Linked DNA regions of Canis lupus familiaris. The protein of the gene in region 1 interacts with the protein of each later gene in a biochemical or structural test. Links are inferred from orthologs where the notes say so. Each region holds a gene or a part of one and is shown on either strand. Other genes may lie near its edges.

The links. The genes of interacting proteins can lie anywhere in the genome.
Region 2: the proteins of LMNA (region 1) and EMD form a complex in vitro, tested with the Homo sapiens proteins (4 studies listed by BioGRID and IntAct, with this or other methods). The link is inferred for Canis lupus familiaris from reciprocal best matches to the Homo sapiens genes LMNA and EMD.

The regions. Positions count from the first base shown.
Region 1 is NC_049228.1:41,702,083-41,706,155, reverse strand, and holds the start of LMNA (lamin), read left to right. Parts: upstream 1-1,254; 5' UTR 1,255-1,466; coding exon 1,467-1,822; intron 1,823-4,073.
Region 2 is NC_049260.1:123,237,291-123,241,338, forward strand, and holds EMD (emerin), read right to left. Parts: upstream 2,815-4,048; 5' UTR 2,726-2,814; coding exon 2,644-2,725; intron 2,557-2,643; coding exon 2,449-2,556; intron 2,287-2,448; coding exon 2,209-2,286; intron 1,982-2,208; coding exon 1,848-1,981; intron 1,415-1,847; coding exon 1,341-1,414; intron 1,264-1,340; coding exon 930-1,263; 3' UTR 533-929; downstream 1-532. Other genes in the region: collagen alpha-1(I) chain-like, read right to left, coding at 3,209-3,535, 3,598-3,957. UniProt on the Homo sapiens protein: Stabilizes and promotes the formation of a nuclear actin cortical network. Stimulates actin polymerization in vitro by binding and stabilizing the pointed end of growing filaments. Inhibits beta-catenin activity by preventing its accumulation in the nucleus.

The DNA of each region.
Region 1 (4,073 bases):
GGATGAGATGGCCCGTGGGGCCAGGGCCAGGATTATGGGGGGCCAGTAGAAGACAAACCAGAGGAGTCCTTGGTAAGGGCTGAGGATAGAGGCTCCAGAGCCTGGGGTGGGGAAACCTGGGGATCTGGGTGATCCAGTGGCAAAGCAGACCTGGTCAGAGAGGGATGCAGAGATGAGTGCAGGGCTGGCCTTTGCAGCCAGGAAGGTTGTGGGGTCTTTGCTGTCCCAGCCCCCCTAGTACTGCCTTTCTGGTTGAAACCAGGACAGAGACCCACCACTGGCTGTCCAGCCCCTGCCATGCTCCCCCTTCCAGGCCCCTCTGGGAACCACAAGAATCTGGGACCTGGTGTCCTGGCAACGTGATGAATGCACGCACAGCTCTGGTATCTGTTTTAAATTATCCATTAAAATAAGTACAGTCCTGGAAAAAAAAAAAATAAGTACAGTCTTGGAGTTGGCAGGGTGGGATAGAAGGAGTAGAAAGGGGAGGAACCAAGGCAGCCTCTTTTTCCAGTTGCTTGAGTCTGAAGGAAGGGGGCAAGGGATGGGGTGAGTGCCTGGGTCCCACTCTTGGCTTTCTGTGGGGGCATGTAGCTTGGCACTTGGGCCTAAGACCCAGTGCTTGGTTTTGAAGGGCGAAGTTGGAACAGAAGACAGGAAAAGAGGGACCTCAAACTTCTGGTCCCTGCCCCAAAACCGAGGGCTAAAGGAACTCAGGACCCAGAAACTCCCTGCAGCCTGGCTCCCCAGGGAGCCCAGGCATTCCTTCCCCACCCCACCCTGGCACACAGAGATGCTGCTTTGAATGGGCTGCCCACATGTGGAGGGGGGCAGGGGTGACTCACTATTACTATGGGAAGGAGAGGGGGAGCCAGCGGTGGAAGGAGAGTGAGTCACCCCATGGGCACCAGCCTCAGCCCTCCCCCACCTTTCCTGGATCTGCCGGCCTGGCGCTTTCTCTCTTCCTCCTGCCCTTTGCCCACCCACCCGCACCCTTTGGCTCGGCCTTCTTCTACACAGGAAGGCCCGAGTCCGAGGGGACAAGCGTCGGGGCTGGACCGGGAGCCCGGAGCAGGCGGAATCCAGGAGGGAGAAGCCCCAGGCCCGGCGGGTGCGCAGGGCGGGGTGGAGCCCCACTCAAGCCGCCGCCCCGCGGGGCTCGCCCTTCCCCACCGCCCCCTCGCCTCCCGCTGCGGACGTGCGCGGCCCCTTTAAGAGCGGCGGCCCCTCCTCCCACTCCCTAGACCTATTAGAGCCGCTGCCCCGCGTCGGTGACTCAGAGTGTCCGCGGGAGCGCCGCAGCCACAGCCGCGCACCCAGATCCCGAGGTCCGACAGCGCCCGACCCAGACCCCTCGCCTGCCAGGAGCCCGCCGACAGCCCGCCGGCCCGCGCGCTCCCACCCCGAGCGGTCTCTGCCCTCTCCGGGACCTCTGCCCCGCGGGCAGCCCTGCCACCCTGCCGGCCATGGAGACCCCGTCCCAGCGGCGCGCCACCCGTAGCGGGGCGCAGGCCAGCTCCACCCCGCTGTCGCCCACCCGCATCACCCGGCTGCAGGAGAAGGAGGACCTGCAGGAGCTCAATGACCGCCTGGCGGTCTACATCGACCGTGTGCGCTCTCTGGAGACGGAGAACGCGGGGCTGCGCCTTCGCATCACCGAGTCGGAGGAGGTGGTCAGCCGCGAGGTGTCCGGGATCAAGGCCGCCTACGAGGCCGAGCTCGGGGATGCCCGTAAGACCCTCGACTCGGTGGCCAAGGAGCGCGCCCGCCTGCAGCTGGAGCTGAGCAAAGTGCGGGAGGAGTTCAAGGAGCTCAAAGCGCGGTGAGTGCGCCCAGGTGGTGGCGCGGGGTGGGACCGGAGAGGGTGGGCGGACAGTCGCCCTGGTCCCACAGCAGCCGGCCCATAACTCGGCCTTCCAGTCCCCTCCCTCCCCGGAACTGCCCCAGCGGGTGACTGGCAGTGCCAAGGGAAACTGTCAAGACAGGACTGAGAAGGGAGGGGTCTCTGGGAGAGGGTGGTGGATATAGGGAACGGTGGGGTCATCGGGGCCACGCAAGGACTGATGGTAGGCCCACAGTCTGTCTGGGTGGGGGCTGCCAGCCCTTTGGAGCTGAAGGCAGGGGCCTGGGCAGAGGACGGCTGGCCCTGCTAAGTTCAAGAAATCTGGACACTCAGGACACATTGAAATGGGTGAAATGGTCCTGTTAAAACTTTCTTGGCTGACTTGGCAGTGTGCCAACTTTGCCCAGACTGTCTCTGGACGCATAAGCACCCATGCTGGCGGGCGTTCAGTGGTGCTGGAGAGAGGTTACCAAGGCAGGGACGTGGAGGGGACCTCCTTGGCACAACTCTTTCCAGGATTCTAAGAGTTGGGAAGCTCTCCCTCACTACTTGCAGGTCTGGGACCTTTCCTGGGCTCTGACAGGCCCTCTAAACAGCTTGAGGAGCTCCGCTCCCCCGCAGCTCCCACAGCCCTTGGCCTTCTTGGCCCAGGAATGCAGGAGAGGGAGGGAGACCGAGGGCAGAGGCTCCCGGCTCAGGCTCAGGAAGTTGTGTTATACCCAGGTCTGGTGCACCCCCTTGGCCCTCTGCTTGGTGTCTTGGACATTGGGGGCTGCTTCTCCTGGCCTGTCTGCTTGGGGTGAACCACTTTCATTTCCTGGCCAAATCTGAATAATCTTTGCTGTGGCCCATCCACTCAGCCACTGAAGGTTTTTTGATCTTCGCCTTATGAAACTGCTGGAATAGGTGACATATTTGAAATCCAGCCGTTGGCCGCTTGAGGCCCCTCCTACCTCACCCATCCCAGCCCCACCCTACCCCACCCTACTTGACTCCACCCTCCTTTCTAAAAAGGCCTCTGGATCCTGGAAGTTCAGGCCCTCTTTTCCTGGCCCCTGAAAATTTGTTTTCCTCTTCTCTGTTACCTCTTTCTCTATGAACACCCAAGCCAGAGAGCACTAGGGTGTTTGAGATCCCTGGGACAGGAGGCCCCGTGGCTTGATGTCCCCTCATTCCCCCCCTTTCAATCTTCTTCTCCAAACTCTTGCTCTCCTGGGAGCCTCTATGTGTCCAGTGAGCTTTCTGCCCTTCACCGGCCAGGCCCCTGGCCCGGTGGGCGTGGGTACCCATCCCCTTGGGAAGAGTAGGTGGAGACAGTACACACAGACAGGCTGACTTTTTGGAGACACCATGGAAGGAGATCACTCCCGTCTTTTTGCAGTAGTGATAGGAACAACTGAGCTAGCAGGACAGACAGGAGGCAAGATGGGGGCGGGGGCAGAGAATCTATGTCAAATTAGTCTGCTCAGTGACCAAATCCCCCCACTGCTGATTCCTGTGACGAGCTTTCTCAGCAGGTCTTTCTTTGGGGAGGACATTGATCGGAAAACGGGATGAGTAGACTCTGCGATCTCTGGCTAGCCCCACCACGCCAGGTTGTCTGTCTCTGCCTCTGGCCTAGTGCAGCTGTCCAGGCCTGGGCCGCCAGGCGGGTATGTGCGCACGTGGGGCAGGGGCGGGGGTGGTGTGTGTGTGGACTGGTTATATTTAGCCATCTGCCTCTTTCTTCCCCTGTGATCCTGGCTGGGGAGGCTGGGCTTCTGGGAGAGGGGGTGGGTCTGCACACCTGGATCTCAGGCTGCTGGGAGGCAGGGTGGAGACAAAGGGGACTTCAACTGGGGTGTGGGTCCCCTTCCGTGTCTCCAGTGGGAGGCCCCAGGATGGGCTGCTGCTTTTTATGTCTGCTGTGCTCAAGGTGAAGCAGAGAAGAGGAAAATGAAGAACTTGGGAAAGGAAGAAAAGCATTGTCGTAACTCCTCGCACTAAAGCCTAGAGAGAAGGTGTCCTCTGGTTTAATGTTTAATTAGAGCTCAGAGTTCAGGGCTGGGCTTCTGGTTGGGATGCAGAACTGTCTATGAGATCCCTGTGGCAATCCCCGGCCCAGCCTGGTACCTTGACTACACCCAGGGCTTTCGGGCGCCCTCTCATTGGGCTGGGTTATAGGCTCCACGCAGAAACCCCCCCCCCCCCAGTACCCATACACACGTTCAGTCTATTCCAGAGTCTGAAG
Region 2 (4,048 bases), on another chromosome or scaffold:
ATGAATAAGTAAATAATACGTGTGTACTTTGCAGGTGGAGGTGCTCGCCTCCCGCACAGAAAACCTGGAGATAAGCAAGAACATAGGCAGGTGAGGGGTGGGATTTACACAGGGGTGATGCGGCATCCTGTGGGCCTCTCCCCCCCCCCGGACAAGCGGCCGCCCGGGAGGAGCCCGCCACTCGCCGCATTTCCTCCCTGTCCACCTGCCCTTGGGTACTGAGGCCGGCTGTCGGCTCCTCCCTGTCGGAACATCTGTAGCCAGTGCTGTGCACGCACCCTCACCTGCATTTATGGGGGAGCTCTCTGCATCCCGTGGGGGCACGCTTCTTTGCCTAGTTACAGCAGCTTTGGGTCACGAGTCAGGGAGCAAACCCTACCAGTAAAGCACAAACGTGCCCGTGGGTAGCATGCGATCCCTACCCCAACCCCAAAGCAAGAAGGGAGAGCGAACAAAGCCAGATGTTGCTCGTGGAGACCCAAGGCCTGGAGGCTCCCAGCCCAAGTCCTTCCCAGCAAAGAGAGCCCACACGTTAAAAATAAATGGTCTTTTTATTGTGTCCACGAAAACAAAGTCAGGGTGGCCTGGGTTAATCCCCCCCGACGAGGTGACAACAGACAGGAGGCATGCAATGACAACAACCATGTTCTCCTCTCCAGGAGAAGGGTCTTACCCTCCTGGGCCCTGGATCAGAGGCAAGCAGGACCAGGAGACTCCAGAGGAAGGCCTGCCCGGGCCCGCCATGCCGCGGAGGGCCTGGGCTTGCCACCTCCTGGGCAGAACGAGGCAGGGGAGCAAGCACTGCCCTGGGCCAAGCCCAGCACACCGAAGCTAGAACACACAGAAAAGCCCCCACCCCCTCCCCCAGCAGACACTACTAAGGCAGTCAGCCAGGACTTCCGGGAACAGCTGGCCACGAAGCCAGCCCCTCAGGGCTCCGTCCAGAAGGGATTGCCATCCTCAGCCTGCATGGAGTAGTAAACAAAGAGCAGGAAGGCAGCAAAGACCAGGAACAGGAGCAGCTGGCCCCAGAGTGGGACCTGGCGGTCCTGGCCCAGACCAGCCCCAGGGGCCTGCTTTTCTGGCCGGATAGCACGACGGGTGAGCCACGAAGTGGGGGAAGATGAAGATGAGGATATGGGAGAGGTGGAAGAGGGTGTGGGATAATAGGACAGGCCCAGGGAGCTTCTGGAGATGTTGGAAACAGGGCGGTAGTGCACGATGTTCTGGTAGGCGCTGTCCCGGCCATACCCGGAGCGTTCCCTGAGGCAGAGGACAGCAGGTGAGCCAGGGGGCCTGCGCCCAGAACCACCCGCTGCCTGGCCCTTCCTGCCACTCACCTGTCCTTGCTGTCCTCTTCAGAAGAGAAGAGACTGTCATCGCGCACCTGCAGGTAACAGTCAGGGAGAGGGGAACTGGCCAGCAGAGTCAGCAGCCTGTAGCCTGTCCCGTCCTCACTGCAAACTAGCCTAGCTGAAACACCCGGACCCTGTTCCCTCCAAAACCCTCCTGAGTTACCAGCCTTAGCCCGGTAGGGCTTTGTCACCCGCTCCACAACTCGACAGGTATCCTGGCCGCCTGCACCTTACTTTCTGCCCCGGGGGGTCTGAGAAAGATCTCAAACCTAGATCCCAGGTCAGGGTGCACGGCGTCCCAGGTGCCCTAGTGTTAGGTCTGACACTCCCCCAAGGACGGCCCTGCCAAGGGAGGTGTGCACTTACCTTGCCTCTCGGGAAGCACAGGGCCTACCGCGTGCGCCCCCCCCCCCCCCCCCCCCCGTCCAGGTTTTGTCCAAGCCCAGCTATGACCCCCACAGGTTGTATGCAGGTGCTCGGCAGCCAACTCACCTGGTGGTGAAAGGTGTCCGAATCTGCGAGTGAAGCTGATGGCTGGCGGAAGCCCTTGGAGGAGCCCACAGGCTCAGGGTCCCCGTAGGTCCTGGTGCTCAGGTAGCTCTCCTCGTAGTAGTCATCGCCGTAGCCTTGGGAAGGGGGGGAGAGCGGTAGCAAGGTGCACAGTGGCTGCGCCCACCTGGCCCTAATCTCAGTCCCACGTGGGAGCCTGTGGCACCGTCTCTCCCCTCTGGGGCTGCTGAGGATGACGGGCTTGAGATCCCAGGTCCCCCCAACACCAGGCTCCCTGAGGGAGGGGGTAAGGGTGACAGGGTGCCCCCCCCAGGGTGCCCCCCCCCCGCCCGCCCAGCCTTACCCTTGCTCTGGTAAAGCAAGGCGTCTTCTTTCTTGGGCAGATCGTACATATCCGAGTCCACGGATGCCGAATCTAAGTCTGAGGGGGGGGGGGCGGGACCATTTGCCCCCGGCTCCCCTCCCTTCTTCCTGTGCCCCTCCCAGCCACCGCCCCTGCCACACCCTCCGGACCCCGTGCCCCCCGTCGCCCAAACCCCGTCCCCCTGGGAGGCCAGGTGGAGATCCGGGGCGGGGGCCTCACCCGAGAACCGATAGGAGAAATTGAAGGCGGACGAGTTGGGGGGCGACAGCCTCCGCCTCTGGGTCTCGTACTCGAAGATCTTCTTTTCGTAGAGCTTGCGAGTGGAACCTGGCCAGACACGGGACGCGGGGCGTCAGGGCCGCGGGCCGGACCCCGGGGGGGGGGCGGGGAGGGGGCGCGCTCGCCGCCGCGTACCCACGACAGGCCCGTGCGGGATGTTGTACTGGCGCAGCACGGCGGCCAGCTCGGCGTCCGACAGGACCGCGTAGTCGTCCATGGCGGGCGGCGGGGACCCGGGGGCCCGGGCCTGGCGGGCGGCGGGCGGCGGGGAGCTGGGGGGGCCCGGGCCTGGCGACGCGGGCCCAGCTACCGCTGCCTCCGAGCACGGCGGGGGCGGCGCGAGCGTCTCGGGAGCGGCAGCGCTCGCGTCACGCCTGCGTCACGCTCGCGTCACGGCCGCGGGCTCTGCGGACTGCGCGCGGGGCGGGGCGGGGCCGGGCCGGCGGCGCCGGCGCGGAGCGGGGGACCGTGGGAGCGGGCGGGGCGGGCGTCATGACGTCAGACGTCGCAAGCGGGCGGGATAGGCTGGCGGCGGCGGCGGGGCGGGGCCGCGCTCCGGAGGGGCGGGGCCCGCCGGCCGAGGGGCGTCACGCGCTGGCGCGCAGGGGCGGGGCTCGAGCGAGGAGTCGGGCTTGCGGGGGCGGGGACGAGCGTGGGCTCGCCGCGACGTGGGGGCGGGGCGGGGCGGGCGGTCGAGGCGTCACCGGCTGGCGTGTCGGGGTCGGGAGGGCGGGGGTGGGGACCTACGCAAGTCGAACCGGCAGAAACCGGCCAGGACAGGAAAGCGGCGCAGGACTGACGCGCTGGGCGCGGCTCGCGCTCCCTGAGTCACGCGGGCTCCGACGGTCCCCGCAGCCCCCTGCCCCCTCCGCACCCCGCGCTCCCCGGCCGCCCCGGGCCGGCCGCGCCTCCGCCGCAGCGCGAAGGGACCCCGATCCCGAGAGCGGGCCCTCGGGGCCGCGGGGCCCAGGCCCGGGCAGCAGCCGCCTCGGCCCCCGGTGCCACCCCGCCCCGCTCCGCTCTCCACCTGCGCCCGTCGTCCCGCAGGTCCCCAGCGCCTCCCACCCTCCCTCCCTCCCTCCCTCCCACTGCGCCCGGGAGGAAATGGGGCACTGGGCCAGGAGGCCGCGGGCACCCCAGGAGCGGGCATCCTTGCAAGGCACTGGGCGTGCCCGTGGGCGCTGGCAGGGGGCCGAGCCCGGCGTGCGGGCGGCGGCCAGCGTGCGCCCGACCCCCGCGCCAGCCACCTGGGGCGTCGGGGCTTTCCTCTGCTGTCCAGGGCGTCCCCGTGGCAGCCTGGGGGGGCGGGGAGCCTTCAAGCCCCCGACGACCTGCTGGGCCGGCTCTGCGCGCTTGGGCCTGGGTGGGCCCCGGGGTGAGCCGAGCACAGGGGGCCCCGGCGTACTCGCGGGTGAGCGCGCGAGGTTGCAAGGCCGTGGAGAGCCTGCACTGTCATTAGGAATTCGTGAAGGCCTTGGTCGCAAAGAGCTGTTCTGGGGGGATTGGAAAGGTGGTGACAATCATATTCTAAATGAAGCCA